2 linked regions of the Nothobranchius furzeri genome follow. The protein of the gene in region 2 purifies or fractionates together with the protein of the main gene of each other region. This does not show direct contact. Links are inferred from orthologs where the notes say so. Each region holds a gene or a part of one and is shown on either strand. Other genes may lie near its edges.

Region 1 (8,153 bases), on a different chromosome or scaffold from region 2:
CTGAACTGGTCACCTACTTGTGCGTAATCAAATGTATGTAGAGGAAAAGATGGAAAAGCTATAGCCATGAGGTTCACTTTTGCCTCAGACCGACTTATTGCTATTTTATGGTATGGCTGAATCTGCGATCCGCTGCCACGCGGACTGGAATAACAAATGCTGCAGTAACATGAGTTGTAGTCAGGTTCATGAGGAGTCACTGGCTGGAGCGGACTCGACTTTAATACGTCATCCCAAAATAGAAGCTAATATGACCTTGAATGAAAAATGTTGTTATAAAACCTCTTAGAAGTTTTTTATCACGGAGGCAGCGCTCATTTCTGCCTTCAGTGTGACGGCACAGCGCAGCGCCGGAGTTTGTGCAGCATGTGCTTATTGAATCAGTATGTGTGTGTGTGTGTGTGTGTACGGCACAGCTCCATGAGCAGCTCCAGTCACCGCGTCTCGTTATTAGCGCTATTTAAACCAATGTTGTAAAATTACTTCTGCCCAGCCCAGATGTGCTCACATGTGCACCCGTGAGCCGTGGTTCCGCTGGAACGCGTCTGACCTCTGACAGACGCACTCTGAACTTCAGATCTTCAGGGCGCTGTTATAGCCTCACACGTTTAGAATGCTGTCCCACAGTCCATGTGCTAATATAATAATATAATAATGCTAAAATGCTCAGATGGGAATCATTTCTTGATTTATTTTGTTACATCCACAATGTTCTGTGTGTGAGGTTTACAATGTCAGAACACCTGCATGAGACAGGGTGTTAATTACAATCTGCCAGAATGACTCACCACCTTCAGATTTCTCCAACACCGATGAAAATGATCAAATACGGGACATATCGGCGTGCGCCAAGCCAGAGCACTGAAGCTTGGCGCATTGTTATTATGAAGCTAGGGCACATGCGGAGGACATACACACACGCGCGCAAAATATACTTGTTTTCGATTGCATTTATTGGGCCCACTTACTTTTTCTTAGGCCCACCCACAAATGAGTTTCTGGCTATGCTAATGGTGACATATGACAGACTTCTCTGAGCTCAGCAGCCATTACACTTTTCACCTCGCGCACCCCCTAGCGGCAGCTCCACACTTAGGGAATCCCTGCTGTAAAACAATGTGAACGGTTGGATTTAAAATGACGACTTTTGTCGTCAATGGCAGTGACAGCAACCCGCTCCTTTGATTCTTTGCAAGATGAATATATTCAGAAACATAATTTGTAGTCCTGACACACTGAAAAGGAAATCTGGGCTAATGTGGAAATGACGCAACAGATATTCCAATGTCACTAATGATTCTCTTTCTTTAGTTGTGCTTTGTTGTGTGTAAGCCTTCAACAGTGTGCTGGCCAGAGTCATAAAATAAATGTAGATGAAGTAGCATACTCATTATAATTTCTTTATTCCCAAAACCTTGATTTAAAATGGAACTGTGGTTTATTTAGTCATAAATTGCTTGTGTCCAGAATTCATTCATCAGTATCTTAAAAACACTCACTGACCTTTTAGAAAGGCTTGGTTTCTCTGACACTTTACCCACACCGGTCTCCTTCTCATCATCTGCCTCTGGTCTCTGGACCGACGTCTGTGGGATGATGTAAAAATAAAAGCCAATGGCACCATCGCAGCAAAGCTTTCTTAAAGAGCAAGTCACCCCCTACCAGATTCTTACTCAACTCCCACTTCCCGTTTGAAAAATGCAACAAATGCTGTTGCCTAGCAGACCGAGAGGGTGGAGCCGCTAGCAAATACACACACTCACGACATTGTGACATCATAATGTACCAGCTAATGTCATAGTGTACCTCTTAGCCAATAGGGATGGCAGATTTAAATTCAAATGCAGTGCTGAGTTTTTACCTGACGACGGTGCAACACTGACAGTTTTAGGCAGAATATTTAAATTTTAACTAAGCTGCACTAAAGTGCCGAATTACTGACTACACGTGTCTGCAGCATGGTCAGACACTCATTTATATAGTTTATCGGCAAAAAAATGTTGATTTGGAGTGACTTGCTCTTTAAAGACACAAAAACAAGACGTACAGTACAGGCCAAGAGTTTGGCCACACCTTCTCATTCAATGCGTTTTCTTTACTTTTATGACCGTTTACCAGGGGCCAACAGGTGCTGAACACCTCTGGGAACTCCTTCAAGACTGTTGGAAACCCATTTCAGGTGACTACCTCTTGAAGCTCACCAGGAGAATACCAAGAGTGTAGAAAGCAGTAATCAGAGCTAAGAGTGGCTATTTGGAAGAAAATAGAATATAAAACATGTTTTCAGGTATTTCACCATTTTTGGTTAAGTAAAAAACTCCACATGTGTTCATTCAGAGTTTTGATGCCTTCAGTGAGAATCTCCCAATGTAAATGGTCGTGAAGATAAAGACAACACATTGAATGAGAAGGTGCGTCCACACTTTTGGCCTGTACTGTACGCGCGTCTACAAGGAGATTAAACAGACTAAACTCCAGTGTTTGGTTGGATGTTTATGTGTGAAGGTGCTGCTGAATCCAGAGAGAGGAAGCGAGAGATCCAGAACAGGGTTTTCACTAACCTTAGGCTGACTGACCGTTTGGGTTTTGTTCCTGTAGGAAGGAGAGGAGGAAGAGGAGGAGCGTGGTGATGAAGAGGAGTCTGATTTGGAGTCAGAATCTGAAGACGAGCCTGAGTCTTGAGTCTCAGCCGCCAACGTACTCTCTTCTTTGGCTTTTTCCTGAGTTTTTTCCTTCTTTAGCCGTTCCTCCTCTCGTCTCTTCTCTTCCTCCTTACGTTTCTTCTCTTTTTCCTCCTCCTGCCATTTTCTCTCCCTTTCCTTTTTCTTCTCCTCTTCTAGTTGTATTCTTTTTTTCTCCTCTTCCTCCTTACGTTTCTTCTCCTTTTCCTCTTCCTGGTGTTTTCTCTCCCTTTCCTTTTTCTTCTCCTCTTCTAGTTGTATTCTTTTCTCCTCCTCCTCCTTACGTTTCTTCTCCTTTTCCTCTTCCTGGTGTTTTCTCTCCCTTTCCTTTTTCTTCTCTTCTAGTTGTATTATATTTTTCTCCTCCTCCTCCTTATGTTTCTTCTCCTTTTCCTCTTCCCGGTGTTTTCTCTCCCTCTCCTCTTCCTCTTCCTGGCGCTGCTTCCTCTCCTCCTCCAGTTGTGTTTTCTTCTTTTCTTCCTCTGGGCGTTTCTTCTCTCGTTCCTGCTCTTGCTGTAGTTCCCTCTCCTTCTCCTCCATCAGATGCTTCCTGTCTTCTCTGCTCTTTTGTGCTCTTTTCGTTTCTGATCCTCGCAGCAGAGGTTCCCTGGAACAGCCGGCAGGGGAGTGTGCCGAATCTCCTGACGAGCCCGGCGCTGCAGACGCCTCCTCTGTCTCCATCTTGTGTACGAGCAGAGAAAGGGGCCCTGGCCTGCCTCTGACGGGGGGTTCCGGGCTGCTGGAGCGAGAGCTTGAATCCGAATCTTTCCTCTGTCTTGCGGAAGATTGGAAAGGCGTCACCTGTGGATCTCGGAGCCCATCCCGCTCCTGATCGTCGGGAGGACTTTGCTTGGGAGTGTCTGGCAAAGGGAAGAGGTTATGAGGAGGTGAAGGAGGAGGCGTGGGGTGGCGCAGCTGCATGGGAGTGGGGTCCACTTGCGGCGGGGGTGGGATGTGCTGCGGAGGCTGAAGCTTGCGTTTGGATCTCGCTGCAGCTGAGGAGTTACTGGGAGCCGCGTGTGGCAATGGGGGAGGCGCTCTTTTCCGCATCCCTGCTCTGCTAGAACTGGACCCCCAGTCCTCATCTTCATCACTATCATCACTGTTGACTTCATCGTCGTCGTCGCTGTCCTCCTGTACGTGATTTCCTGCTGATCTCCCAACAGAGCGACTGAGGTTAAGGGCAGAGTGAGCCGATCCAGGATCAACCGTTTGCTCCTTCTCCTGGGAGCGGGATGCAGCAGGGGGGCCACCGGGCTGTCCCAGGACTCGCACCGACAGGTAGGCGACCGCACGAGGAGGAGAGGGGGCCGGGGCCTCCTTGTGTCCTCGCTGCAGCTTGACTCCTGAAGCTTCAGGAGACTCCTGGTGGTGGAAAGTAGAACCGGGAGCACCCGAGGGTTGGGACGGTAACGTTTGACTCTGCCCGGTACAGAAATAACAACGTTTACATATTTTACAGCATTTCTAATGATTTGGAACAAAATAAATGACTTTAATAATTCTGATTATCAGCTACAGTTCAAATGTGATTTTACAGGATTGTCAGAGCGAATAGACCAGATAAACCAGTACTAACTTTATCTGTAACGTATGATGAGCTGTCTTCGTCTTCAGAATGGTCTTCATCCTCCTCTGGTCCAGCTGGACTTTCTGTCAACAAGAAAACTTTCTGTTTTATTTACTATAAATTACACCATTTAGTTACCATGTGTGTCGCTACGGGTGATGTACCATCAGCCTCTTCTCCCCTCTGGGCCCCTCTCTCAAGCCTCTGATGGAGGAGCTCCTGCTGTTTGGCCAAGTACTGTTTTATGAAGCTGTTCTGGCACATCTCCTCCCCAATCTACACATTAGTACAAAAAGAAAACAAATGACACAATTACCCCAGATATTAAATTTAACTTTTGTTTAACTGGAAATAAACTCCAACCTGAGAGTTTGGCTGCAGCACACTGTGAGAGGAGGATGATTTCTGCAGGTTTTCCAGCATCAGAGCCTGCATGGATTAAAAAAGGAGAGAAATAAACTTCAGCGTGAACATTTGACCTTTAAAGTGTGACATTAACTCACACAAAACTCTGATCCGCCCCACGCCCACACACAGACAGTAACGGATCTCTCTGTGCTTGCTTCATTGTTGCTCACGTTTCTTCGGTATTCCCGAGGTTTTCTTCAGCTCGCCTTTTTCGGTTGAATACTTAAAGTTACTTTTTTCGGAACGTACGTGGTGCATTTGACAAGACAGAGCTGAAAACGGCATGCGTCGGTCACTGCCTCCGGTCGGGTTTTTTTTGTTGCAGTTCAAAGTGGAGTGCATCTAATAAAACAATATTAACATAAAGGTGAGACGTGTCATAATCCCCCCCCCCCCCCAAACCACCACCACAGCTGGAAAAATTCCTAGGGGAAACACTGCCCCTATAGTTGGAACACACACACCGGTCAACCTTCTAAAAGATGGGGACCACCACCCCGGTCTGCCACTCCACAGGAACTGCCCCCGATGGCCACGCAATGTTGCAGAGACGTGCCAACCACGACAGCCCTGCAACATCCATAGCCTTGAGATACCCAGGACAAACCTCATCCGCCCCCGGGGCTCGGCCGCTGTGTAGTTGTTTGACTACCTCAGCAACTTCTGCCCCAGAGATTGGACAGTCCATCCCCAGGTCTCCCGGCTCTGGCTCCTCCTCGGAATGCGCGTAGGTGGGATTGAGGAACTCCTCAAAGTATTCCTTCCACCCCCCACCCCCCCCCCACTATAGCCCCAGTTGACGTCAGCAGCTCCCCATCCCCACTGTAAACAGTGTGAGCGAGTTGCTGCCTTCCTCTCCTGAGGCACCGGACAGTTTGCCAGAACCTCTTTGGAGCCAATCGATAGTCTTTCTCCATGGCCTCACCAAACTCCTCCCATGCCCGAGATTTTGCCTCGGCAACTGCCACTGCTGCACCCCGCTTGGCTATCCGGTACCTGTCTGCTGCCTCCGGACACCCACAGACCAGCCACGCCCTGTAGGCCTCCTTCTACAGCCTGACGGCTTCTCAAACCTCTGGTGTCCACCAGCGGGTACGGGGGCTGCCACCACGACTGGCACTGGCCACCTTGTGACCACAGCTAGCAACAGCCGCCTCAACAATTGCAGAGTGGAACAAGGCCCACTCGGAGTCGATGTCCCCCACTGCTCTCGGGATGTGGTCAAAGCTCTGCCGGAGGTGAAAGTTGAAGACCGTCTTGACAGGTTCTTCTGCCAGGCGTTCCCAGCAGACCCTCACTATGCGTTTGGGTCTGCCAGGTCTACGCGGCATCTTCCTCTGCCATCTGATCCAACTCACCACCAGGTGGTGATCAGTTGACAGCTCCGCCCCTCTCTTCACTCAGGTGTCCAAAACATACGGCCGCAGGTCAGATGATACGACTACAAAGTCTATCATCGACCTGCGACCTAGGCTGCCCTGGTACCAAGTGTACCGATGGGCATTCTTATGTTCGAACACGGTGTTCGTTATGGCCAAACTGCGGCTTGCACAGAAGTCCAATAACGAAACACCACTCGAGTTCAGGGTTCCTACATTGATCAAAATGTCCAGTTTTTCATCCAGGAGCAGGGATCGAATTATGGGGACTAGATATCTTTCAGGGAAACATCCAGCTTCTGCCTATATTACTAGGGATGCACCGATGGATCGGCATTTGATCGTAATCGGCCGATAGCGCCCCTATCGGTTTTGATCGGAGTTTTCAAAATAGATCAAAGCAGACCAATCAGCGTAGGGTTGTCACTGTAACCAGTGTAGCGGTAAACCCCGGTAAAAAAAAAAGTTGACAATAATAATAACCGTCTTGTTTTTTTTAAAAAACTATATTATCTTGGTGGGTTTACCGTGGCTGCGGTGTAGGCGCGGTGACCCTTACCAGCCACCGTATCATCTGCAGAAGTTGCGTGCTTCGTTGTTTACAACCAAAACTTTCTTGAAGCTAAAGCTGAAATAATGTTCAAAGGAGGAGACGGCAGCGCTCGGGAGGACATTTATTATCCCTCAAAGAAGACAAAGTCGGAAGTACGGGCAGTGTTGCCAACTTAGCGAATTTGTCACCATTTCTAACGCCTTTTCAGACCCCCTTAACGACATTTTTTCCAAAAAGCGCCTAGCGACAATTCTGGTGACATTTCTGACCCCCCTCAGCTACTTTGACTACAACTGAGTAGCAGACTTTACCAGCAGATTAGCGATGCATCTGAAGCGACAGGACCGTCCTTCCTTCCAGAGGACCAGAAAGAAAATGATCTGCGCATGTGCTTGCAGCATGATCACGCTACCCCCATTGGCCAATCAAACCTTTTGTGGGTTTTCTTTCACAAGTCCATTATTTGAGATAGCTACCGGAGCTACATAAAGGGCGACCGCTCCTTCCGCCATCCTGCCGCATTTCGGCAGCTGAGCTCGCCTATGGCGTTTAAAGCGTGCCACAACCCGTGCACGCGCATTGGGTCCACAGCGCGCGTGTGAACGGGACTCGCAAGCGCAAATATACATGGCAGCGCGCGTGTGAACGGGACTCGCGAGCGGAAATATACATGGCGAGAGGTCATTTGTGCACTGAGAGGGAGCAAACTGTGTCTGTGAGCGCACAAGGATGTGCACAAGTGACAAACCTGCGTGCGCGCGTTGTCAACGAGCACACGGCAGAGGAAAACGTGCGCGCGTGGCAGCCTCTGTGCGCGCTCGGTTTCTGACTCCTGCTCGCTCGGCTGTAAGGGCTTTTGGCACTCTGGAGGCGTGGCCTGTGGCAGATCTTCTCTGTCCTCTGATTGGTTAGTTTACCCCGCACTGTATCCTCTATCTATATAAAAAAGTCTGACATTCAGTAGTTGCTGGCATAGCTCAGCTGGGAGAGCGGGTGACTCTCGCCCCGGAGGATCCAGGTTCGAGTCCAGGCAAGGAAAATGCAGTAGATGTCATGTTAATTTTTCTTAATTCCAGGTATTTTACAGTTGTGACCGTTCAACTGTCATTAAACGTCCGAATGTTTGCTGGGCAGTGTTTTAAAAAGTGCACATAAGCTAGACGGTTTTAACCATATAAAATTACATTTTTTGTGATACTGGAAAAATACATACTGAAATAACTGCAAACTCCCTTAGAGAGAGAGAGAGAGAGAGAGAGAGATAGAGATAGAGAGAGAGAGAGAGAGAGAGAGAGAGAGAGAGAGAGAGAGAGAGAGAGAGAGAGAAGTTCTTGCCTCATTAATGAATTGTTTATTTTTTTCAGTATTTAATTGACAAATTATCCTTTCAAATAATTAATTGATGAGTTACATAATTGTCCATTTAGAATTGTTGAATGGACTGAGTCAAGTTTGGTGCACTTTATATATTTCAAAACATGTTTTTTTTATTTTAATGATGCATATAAATAATTTAAATGTTAATTTAATCAAATATTTCTATTTTTTCATTACCTCACCCT
Region 2 (8,862 bases):
AAAGAATTTGATGTGGTCAAGGAAATAATATTGAAAACTTAAATCTACTTAAATAGGCTTTTTGCATATTTAAACTTATCAAAAAATAAATTGTTTTACAAAAAATAATAATAAAAAAAAAAAAGAGATTACCCCTCGACGGGAAAAGCCAAAGGAACTTTGTTTCTAAGGAAGCGTATAAGATTTGTAGTGTTGAAGGCAGATCGGTCTTTTCCACCAAGTGAAACGCCCGGTATGAACACGACAAGACGCTGTAGGGACAACTCTCGCTGTGAATTGGTGCTACATAAATAAATAAATAAACAAACAAACAAACGTTACTCTGCCTTTGTTGTCCAGATTTAAAGAATCCAAAATGCAGATATTTTCGCTAAGGCGACACGTTAGAGCTGTATTGGCCTGCTAGCTAACAGCTACATGTTAACAGTGTCTGAATCCCCACTAGCTGGAAATTGTGCGACGTCATGGTGTCGCCCACGCAACAACGAACACTGATGCAGTGGAACTTGTTAAAACTAACACTACGCCATTGTCTTTATGTATATCAGGATGAAGTTAAAAGGTCTTGCTTGTTGTTTTACAAGGTAAAATTGTTTCTGTTCTACACTATTATGATTGTCCGAAAATCATGTGATCGGATCAGAGCATCCTTAGCTTTTTTTAATTTGTTATTATTTGAACTGATGCACACCTGCGATGGTCAATGCACCGCATCACCCTCCCGAAGGTGCCTTCCCCCAAAGTGCTGACGATTTCATCTGCAACACAACAAAAACAGAAAAGGAAAAGACAGGGAAGTGGAAGAAGAAGAAAAAAGGAGCATTAGATATGTGGACTCAAGCAGGAAAAAACAGCAGATAGGCGAATCTTTGCTAACACCCATCACTTAAAATAAAAAGCTCCCTATTGACTGTGCCAGGTTAAAAAAAACAAAGTCTAAGATAAGTGAATGCAACTTCTAATTAAAACATAAGGGGGCAATTATAAAACACCTCATTTTATGACTAATCTGTAGCTGTGTTGTCTTTATCTAAATAAATAGATGGCTAACAAACAGATGGCACGGTTGATACGGATTAGCATTTTTAAAACTGTTTAACTCAGGAAAAGTTAAAGACCAAGTTCACTCATCTTTTTCTACACATTTGCAGCGGTCTCTGGTGTAAATTAAATAGCCTGGCCTGCCAGACTCGTCCTCTGTTTAATTCTGCACAGAGAAAGAGTCTGGTAACTCACAGGCAGAGAGGCACAAGAGGGGCGGGACTAGCCAGCTCAAAAATAACCAATCAGAAAAAAAGACTGAAATGCTGACTGTACCGCGTAACGCTGTAGTTTTTTTTAGCTGTAGTAATAAAAGATGTCTGGCAACGGCGTAAACATTTTTTTTTTTTTAGAAGAAATTCTTTTAGTGCTCCTACATGTTGTTATTTTAAAGACATTCAAGTCATTTAGAACAGATGAAAGAGCTGCAGCAAACTCCACCGCTGTCTTCGTTGTTTCTGAGAAACTGAGCGTCGCTGTGTGTGACATCAGCGACGCTGTAGTTTTTTTAACTGTAGTCAAAAATGGCGTCTGGTGACAGCGCAATCATTTTTCTTTAGAAGAAAGGCTTTTGGCGCTTCTACATGTTGTTTTAAAGACGTGTCCAAGTCATTTAGAACAAAGGAAAGAGCCGCAGCAAATTCCGGTTCAGTCGCCATGTTCGACAAACTCGGCGTTGTGGTGTGTGACGTACGATACTCAGCACTGATTGGCTCGGTTAGAATTCTCACGGGGTGAGGTTATTTGTATAGGAGCGTTCCCAGACCCTTTCTCTGTGCAGAATTAAACAGGACGAGTCTGGCTGGCCAGGCTATAAACTAATGTCTCGTGAGTCGACCTCTGTGGAAAAAAAATGTTGCAGTTTAGTTTCAGGAAGCAGATGTCAACCAGATTAAAGGCGAGCAGAAGAAATGGCAAGACTTAAGAGTCGTATTTCCTAAAAGTCGGACATCTCGCTGATGATTTATCTCCACAAATAACACAAGCCTGGAGGAGTTCTGTGTGGTGGAGCTGCTAATGCTAACAGTTAGCTTCTACCAGCCGAGATGTGCTCTGGTCTCTTCAGAACAATAAATCAACAACAGCCTTCCCCGTCACGAGCTAAATTGGGCAAGTTCATGAATGCTAATTTTCAGTGTGTAGAGCTGACTGCCTTTGCTAATCTGAGTTTTCCCATTCCTATTAGTGGCTGATGCAGGAAACGGATCTTTTCATGATTAACCTGCGTGTTTGTTTTAAAGTGACAGATCAATTCCTAAAATAAGTTAAAAAAGTGAACTTGGCCTTTAAATTTAAGTTAAAAATGTACATGTTATAATTGTACAATTCAGAATTGACTACTTAAGTGTGTGTAAGTTAACTAGAATCCCTAAAACATTGGTTGTGGGAAACAGCTAACTTGAGTTACAGCTATATAAACTGTAACTGACTTTTAGGCTACAGCACAAGAAAACAAACAGCTAAAAACTGGATTCTACGTTTTGTGAAGTCAAATAAACCTGTGAAACACAAAAGAAATGCTCCACAGAGTTAAAATCGTAGAACAAAAAGGCAGAATTTATCTAAAGTTTCTCTCAAATTCATCAACACTCCTTTTGCAATCCACCCAGCTACTTCAGCTAGAGCGAAGAGCATTCTAGCAAGGCATCATCATCATCATCATCAGACAATCCCATGTCATGTAAATGCTCTATGATTATACTCATATGGAGAAGGGTTACGATAGAGTAGTGGCAGTGAGTACATCTCTCTTGCAGGACGTCCCCACTCCGACAGATCAGGTGCCCTTCCTCGTCGTCCCTCACACTCAGTGCCCGCGTCCGGCTGGTGCTCCGCTGTATTCACACCCAAACCGCCATCAGCAGGTCAGAACACGACCAGAGGGGACAGGGGTTTCAGTAGCAGCCACGGCATCAGGTGGCACAGGTAGATGAGGAGGGAGGAGGAGGGTGGTGTTGTGGTTGTAGGTGGGTTTCGTGGTCACGTGGCGATTCACGCATGACACCACGTGAAGGAAATATATAACGATAGGGATATAGTGCAAGGGAACAAGTCAAAGATCACATCTTCTTTCCCCCCTTCAATTTATAACCACAGCTGCTCAAAAACAAAGAGGCAACTGGCTTTTCCATTAATCAACGCAAAAACCAGTTAAACCAGTGGTAAAACTAATGCATCAGGCTAATTTCAGATTAAACAAAATAAAAAATGACTGGATCATAGCAGCTCCAGCAGGAAATATTTCTAAATAATCTATGCCAGATAAAACTCAAGACTAAATCATGATTAGAGTAATTTACAGGTGTGCATAATCACACTCCACATTTAAACAAACACCTATAAAACCAGCCCTTTTACATGGTAAATCATCCAAATTCTAATTAAACCTACATTTTGTATGGAGTTGGGGAGAACATTTTTATTTTTCTAATGCAAACTTCATTTAAACTCAAAACTGGGATCTAATTTAACATTTTTAACGTTACATCAGGGATTTCACCGTGGACGTGAACAAAGTTCAAATTTTCATTTTCCTTCACTAATATACAAAAAGGGTTTTAAAAAAATAAAAATGTTCTACCAAAAACAATAACAGTGTTTAGCAAAACAAATAAAAACATACTGAGAGAAATAAAACAAATCATAAAGAATTCACTACTTACCGAGTCCACGGGCTGCAAGGGAAAACGGTTAGTGAAAGACAGACTGAAAGAGGTAGAGGTGGAAACTAGAGGCGGAAATAGAAAAAAAAAGAGGTACAGAACAATATTGGACCTGGCTCTACTCACCGAGGAGGAAGCGCTATAGGACCTGGTTCTACGCCGCCTTCGTTTGTGCTTACGCCTGCTGCCTTTCCGCCGATATGAATCGTCCCGTTCGCGCTCCCTCTCGCGGCCACGCCTGTAGTCGTACATGTTCGGGGAGAAGTCTCGTGGGCAGTAGCTCTCGGCTGCTCCATGTGGCTCCCTGTCTCTGTCGCGATCTTGGCTCTGATCCAACCGTCTGTATCCCTCGTAGTACCGTCGATCAAAAGGTCGATGTTCTGTTGAGCGATTGTCATAGCTGCGACTAAACACAAGGAATTCATGTTAAACAGTAAACTGTGTTAATCTCATTATAAATGTAACATCACATGCAGACGTACCTCCTTGAGCGCATGTAGCTTTGTTCCTGTCTGTGCCCTCGCCCCCTTCTGTCGCGGTCTCTGTCACTACTGGAGGAGTTCGTAGGTGATCGTCTGTGCCGATATCTTCGTCCTCTGTCTCTGTAGCGATCTGGGTAGCTGCTGCGACTGTCTCTATCAGACGATGAGTACCGTCTGTTGTGAGGCATCTAGTGGATTGTTGGAAAGGCAAATCAATCAGAGTTGAAATCAAAACCTTGAGGTTGGCAATACATTTAGCCAAGTAATGAAAGTCAGCTGTTTTATCAGAGGACATCGGTAGAAAACATGAAAAATCTCACAAATAAATATTTCAGAAATCGTAAAATTACCTCAAGCTTCAAAATGATTATTCTACATTACTGTAAGTTTGGAATACCAACGAACAAGCAAACTGCTAGCTGTCATGATGAGATCTACTAGTGTAAAAATGCAGTTTTATTCTGTCTGTTTTTGAATAGAGGCTAATGGAGAAGTTACGTTTTCATTGTTATTCTAGCAAAAGGCAGTTCCTATTGAACTGAGCTTTATTTTAAGAAAGGGATCTGTAAAATTGTTTAAAAATAACTAGCTCGCATTGCTTTGCATAGAAGTGACAATCCTTTTAATCCAAATTAATTTGAACTCAAAGGCCTGAAAATGTGTATTTTTATGGGACTTAGCAGAAAGTTTATCAAACACTAAGAAAAGTATCCCAAATTCAAGACCGAATGGTCACTCTGAACCTAATGTTGTGAAGAGTGACCTCTAAAAATATAGCAACATAAAATAATCAGTAAGACTAGAAGAGAAAATAACGAGCATCGTCTCGTGTTTCGAGACAAACCAGCTAGCCTTGGTACAGAAAGAGAAAATAGCAGCTACGTCAAGTTGGAGCGAGATTTTTGTGGAATGTCACATCCCTACAATGTGTGTGCTTCGACACATAAATCAAATTAAAGCACACAAAGCATAACGAAGACGCTACGTTAACAATAAGTGCAAACGACAACTCCTTAAATAACGTTCGCTAAATCCAAGACCATGTAAAATGATTAAATATCTCGCTAAAATTGCTGTTAACTTAATTAATTTGACTAAGCATCATGAAAATAAACAATAACACTCTGGACAGCTGCAACATGGAAACACATAAAACGCGAAACATACATTTTATTATGTTAAAACTGGCTACTTAGCGAGCGGGCAGCGGTTAGCTTACAGCGCTAGCAGAGAGCTAATGTAAATAATTTGACCGCCATCTTAGCTACGTTCGTCAGGTCCGCGGCAACTAATGCTAGCTGTCGTGAGAACCGCGGCATAACCAGTGCAAAAACAGCGTCCCGAAATTCAAAAACGAATATAGTCACCGTTTTAGCAGCGAGGCCTGTTCGTTTATCCCATAAAAAATCCGTGGTGGCAGTTGGGTGTATCTACTATCTAGTTGCTAAATCGTCAGACCCTTTAGCCCTCCGGTTCCATCCACCGTCTAAGTTCTGGTACAAACTAGTGTGTGTTGCTGTAACGCCTCCTTGCGCTGTAACGCAGTACCATTCCTGGAGCAAGGTGTATGGCAAGCAGTTGAAACATTTAATTGAAAAAAAAAAGCAATTCCTCCTTGTCAAAATGCCCTTTCTTGTACTGATAAATAAAATGCCTTTTCTTGTACTGATAAATACCATTTTCTGTTCAGATATATATATATATATATATATATATATATATATATATATATATATATATATATATTAGCACTTTGAGGGATGGTTTGGATATTCTAAGTCTCTTTCTGTGAAAAACAGAAGTCCATTTATCATCTTCCTAGTGGTAAGCAACTTGATGAGCCTCAGTCTAGAGAAAAAGACATGCTGTGACTATACAGAGTACCTACTTGCTAGTTTGACTTATGTATGTTGACTTAAAAATGACTCAAATCTCAAAAAATATAGTCCTTGCAAAATTTTACACCACTATAAATTTCACTAAATATAGTTACTGAATTCACGAGAGAAAAATGGAACATGAGATAGATGGGTGGATTCGTGCTGCGTCTGCAGTGATGCAGGCGCTGTATCGGTCTGTGGTGAAGAGAGAGCTGAGGTGGAAGGCAAAGCTCTCAATTTGTCGGTTTATCTACGTTCCTACCCTCAGCTATAGTCACAAGCTTTGGGAAGAGATCAAAAGAACGGGATTGCGGATACAAGTGACCAAAATTAGTTTTCTCTGCAGGCTCTCCCTTAGAGTTATGATGAGAAGCTCAGTCATCTGGGAGGTGCTCGGAGTTGACCCGGTGCTCTTCCATGTTGAGAGGAACCAGTTGAGGTGGCTCCGGCATCTGGTTAGGATGCCTCCTGGACGCCTCCCACTTCCAACTAGGAGGAGACCCAAGAGAAAACCCAGGACACGCTTCAGGGACTATTGCCACTTACACACTAGCAGAGGCTCCACTCCACTCTGCCTACCCAAACCTGGCTGTGTTCGTTCCACACCGCCTTAGGAATGCAGATGTATATGAGCACATGGGCAGTCTGTGTCCTGTGATGTCATGAGCGCGTCTCTGTGCACGTGTGCAGGGCAAAAGAGTGCGAAGAAGTCTGTGGTGTCTCCATTATTAAACAAAGGCGGCCTGAGCAGTCTTGCTTTTGTATATTCTGATTACTTTTGCATCCTGCTTTGCTGTCTGGCAGCACTGTGTGTGTTTGTGTGTGTGTGTGTGTGTGTGTGTGTGTGTGTGTGTGTGTGTGTGTGTGTGTGTGTGTGTGTGTGCGCGCGCACCTCCTCAAAGCAATGAGTAAAACGGCGTTAACTCCACAGCATCCAGAATAATGAATTGTGCATGTAAGCCCCCACGGGCTGATTCTATCTGCCATTTGGAGGCTCCCCTAATGGTACACTTAATTTTGAGCAGGCCAATCAGTCAGCAGTGGCTGTATTCAGCCCTGTTCGGCTCCAGGAAGACCGCTTCGGGAAGAGGGCTGAAAAGACATCCGGTTGCACGCGGGAACAATTCCAACCCAGTCCAGGCGCAGTGGAGCCGATGCTAGTGAGAGAGAGCCATATGTCTCTCAGCTGGCGTAGGGACACCTTGGGATTCCCCAGGAGGCGCTGGCCCAAGTGGCAGAGGAGAGGGAAGTTTGGGCCTCTCGGTTTAGGCTGCTGCACCCCCGCGACCCTACTCTGGATAAGCAGCTGAAAATGGATAGTTATTGAAATTATATACCACATTATAATTGCTGTGGAGCAATATACTGTAGTACTTTTGTCTAAAATGTCATTATTTTTCCATTTAACCACAAAATATTTGTGCTTATACAAAGTACAAAAATATTTTTTTTCATCTGGTTTTAAGGCATTCAAACAGGCTGTTCAAAGAACTTTCTACAGCCGATAAGATATTTAATATTTGCCTTTCCACAGAACCCCCATTTTGAAAAATGTAAAATGTCAACTGCAGATCAAAAAATATCTTTGTTATGCAAAATGCAGCAACACACTTTTCACGTTTTTCAGCCTTAACTGGAAGGATTCATCCATACCCGGAAGTGCAACATAAGTTAGCATGGGGGATGAGATTGTTTATGAATGTCATGGTTCTTTGCAAAGACAATGTTGGGTCTTGGGACCTCGTAGCAGGATTAAAACACATTTACTTTGGGTTTAATTACAAATAATTCCATTGATTATGTTTTCATGGTTCCATGGGAATGAATGCGTGTGTCTAGAATGGTGTGTACATCCACCAGGAATTATTCTATGAATGCTGATTTTCTTGAAAGGTACTTTTTCCAAAGATACATAGAAATGTAAATCAAGGCTCTTTTTATAAGTTGGCTTAATGAAATTAGAATCCTTATTCTCAATCAAGCTCATATTAGCAGTCCTTCTTAGAAGCATCGACAAATGACCAGTAATGTGTTATTCTTTTATTTCACCAGGTGAAAGACCTGGTCAACGAAGGCAGTGTGAGAGTACAGGGAATAACAAACAGCGGAGCTCAGTCATTTATTGGGTGTATTCAATATGTCCAGCTGTGCATTTGCCCAGAGTTCACATCAGTAGTATAAACACTTGTTATTGGCCTAAGTTTATTTACCAGTACAAAATTTAAAGTCTTGTATTTCATCATCATCATCAAGTTTATTTATAAAGCACTTATAAAACAGCATGGCAGCTGACCCAAGTGCTGCAGTCTTGTATTTCAAGAATGATCTACATAAGGGCTGCATGGTGGTGAAGTTTATAGCACTGTCACTTAGCAGCAAGGTCGCCAGTCCAAATCCCATTCAAAGGCTTTTGGAGTGAAGTTAGCATGTTCTTGCCATACATCAGTGGACTTCCTCCCAGACATATAAATGCAAGATGAGTACATGACCATTTGTCATGCTCTTCGTCTCCGTGTGTCCTTGTTGTAGACTGAAGATCTGTCCAAGGTGTCCCTCACTGGAGACACAAGCTCCATGCCCTACCCCAGAACAATAGATGGACGGACTTCTAGAAAGGAATCCAAAAGGGTCCTAATGAAGGCAACTGGACTTCTTTGGTTTCTTCAAGTCTTTCTCATTCGATAAGCTTGGTCAGTCCTGACTGGAATATGGGAGGGTCAAGCTTATAAACTTGATAAACTTAATAAGCTTGACACTCCCATATTCTAGTCAGAATTGGCAAAGCTTTTCAGATGA

What was found.
Region 1: the proteins of clk2a (region 2) and acin1b purify together in Homo sapiens (affinity purification with mass spectrometry; 3 studies listed by BioGRID and IntAct, counting the BioPlex papers as one, with this or other methods). This does not show direct contact. The link is inferred for Nothobranchius furzeri from reciprocal best matches to the Homo sapiens genes CLK2 and ACIN1.

What each region holds. Positions count from the first base shown.
Region 1 is NC_091742.1:59,494,184-59,502,336, forward strand, and holds part of acin1b (apoptotic chromatin condensation inducer 1b), read right to left. Parts: intron 4,681-8,153; coding exon 4,615-4,680; intron 4,528-4,614; coding exon 4,416-4,527; intron 4,335-4,415; coding exon 4,261-4,334; intron 4,104-4,260; coding exon 2,562-4,103; intron 1,587-2,561; coding exon 1,504-1,586; intron 1-1,503.
Region 2 is NC_091759.1:6,925,392-6,934,253, reverse strand, and holds the start of clk2a (dual specificity protein kinase CLK2), read right to left. Parts: upstream 5,694-8,862; 5' UTR 5,554-5,693; intron 4,375-5,553; coding exon 4,187-4,374; intron 4,111-4,186; coding exon 3,831-4,110; intron 2,877-3,830; coding exon 2,786-2,876; intron 759-2,785; coding exon 692-758; intron 1-691. UniProt on the Homo sapiens protein: Dual specificity kinase acting on both serine/threonine and tyrosine-containing substrates. Phosphorylates serine- and arginine-rich (SR) proteins of the spliceosomal complex.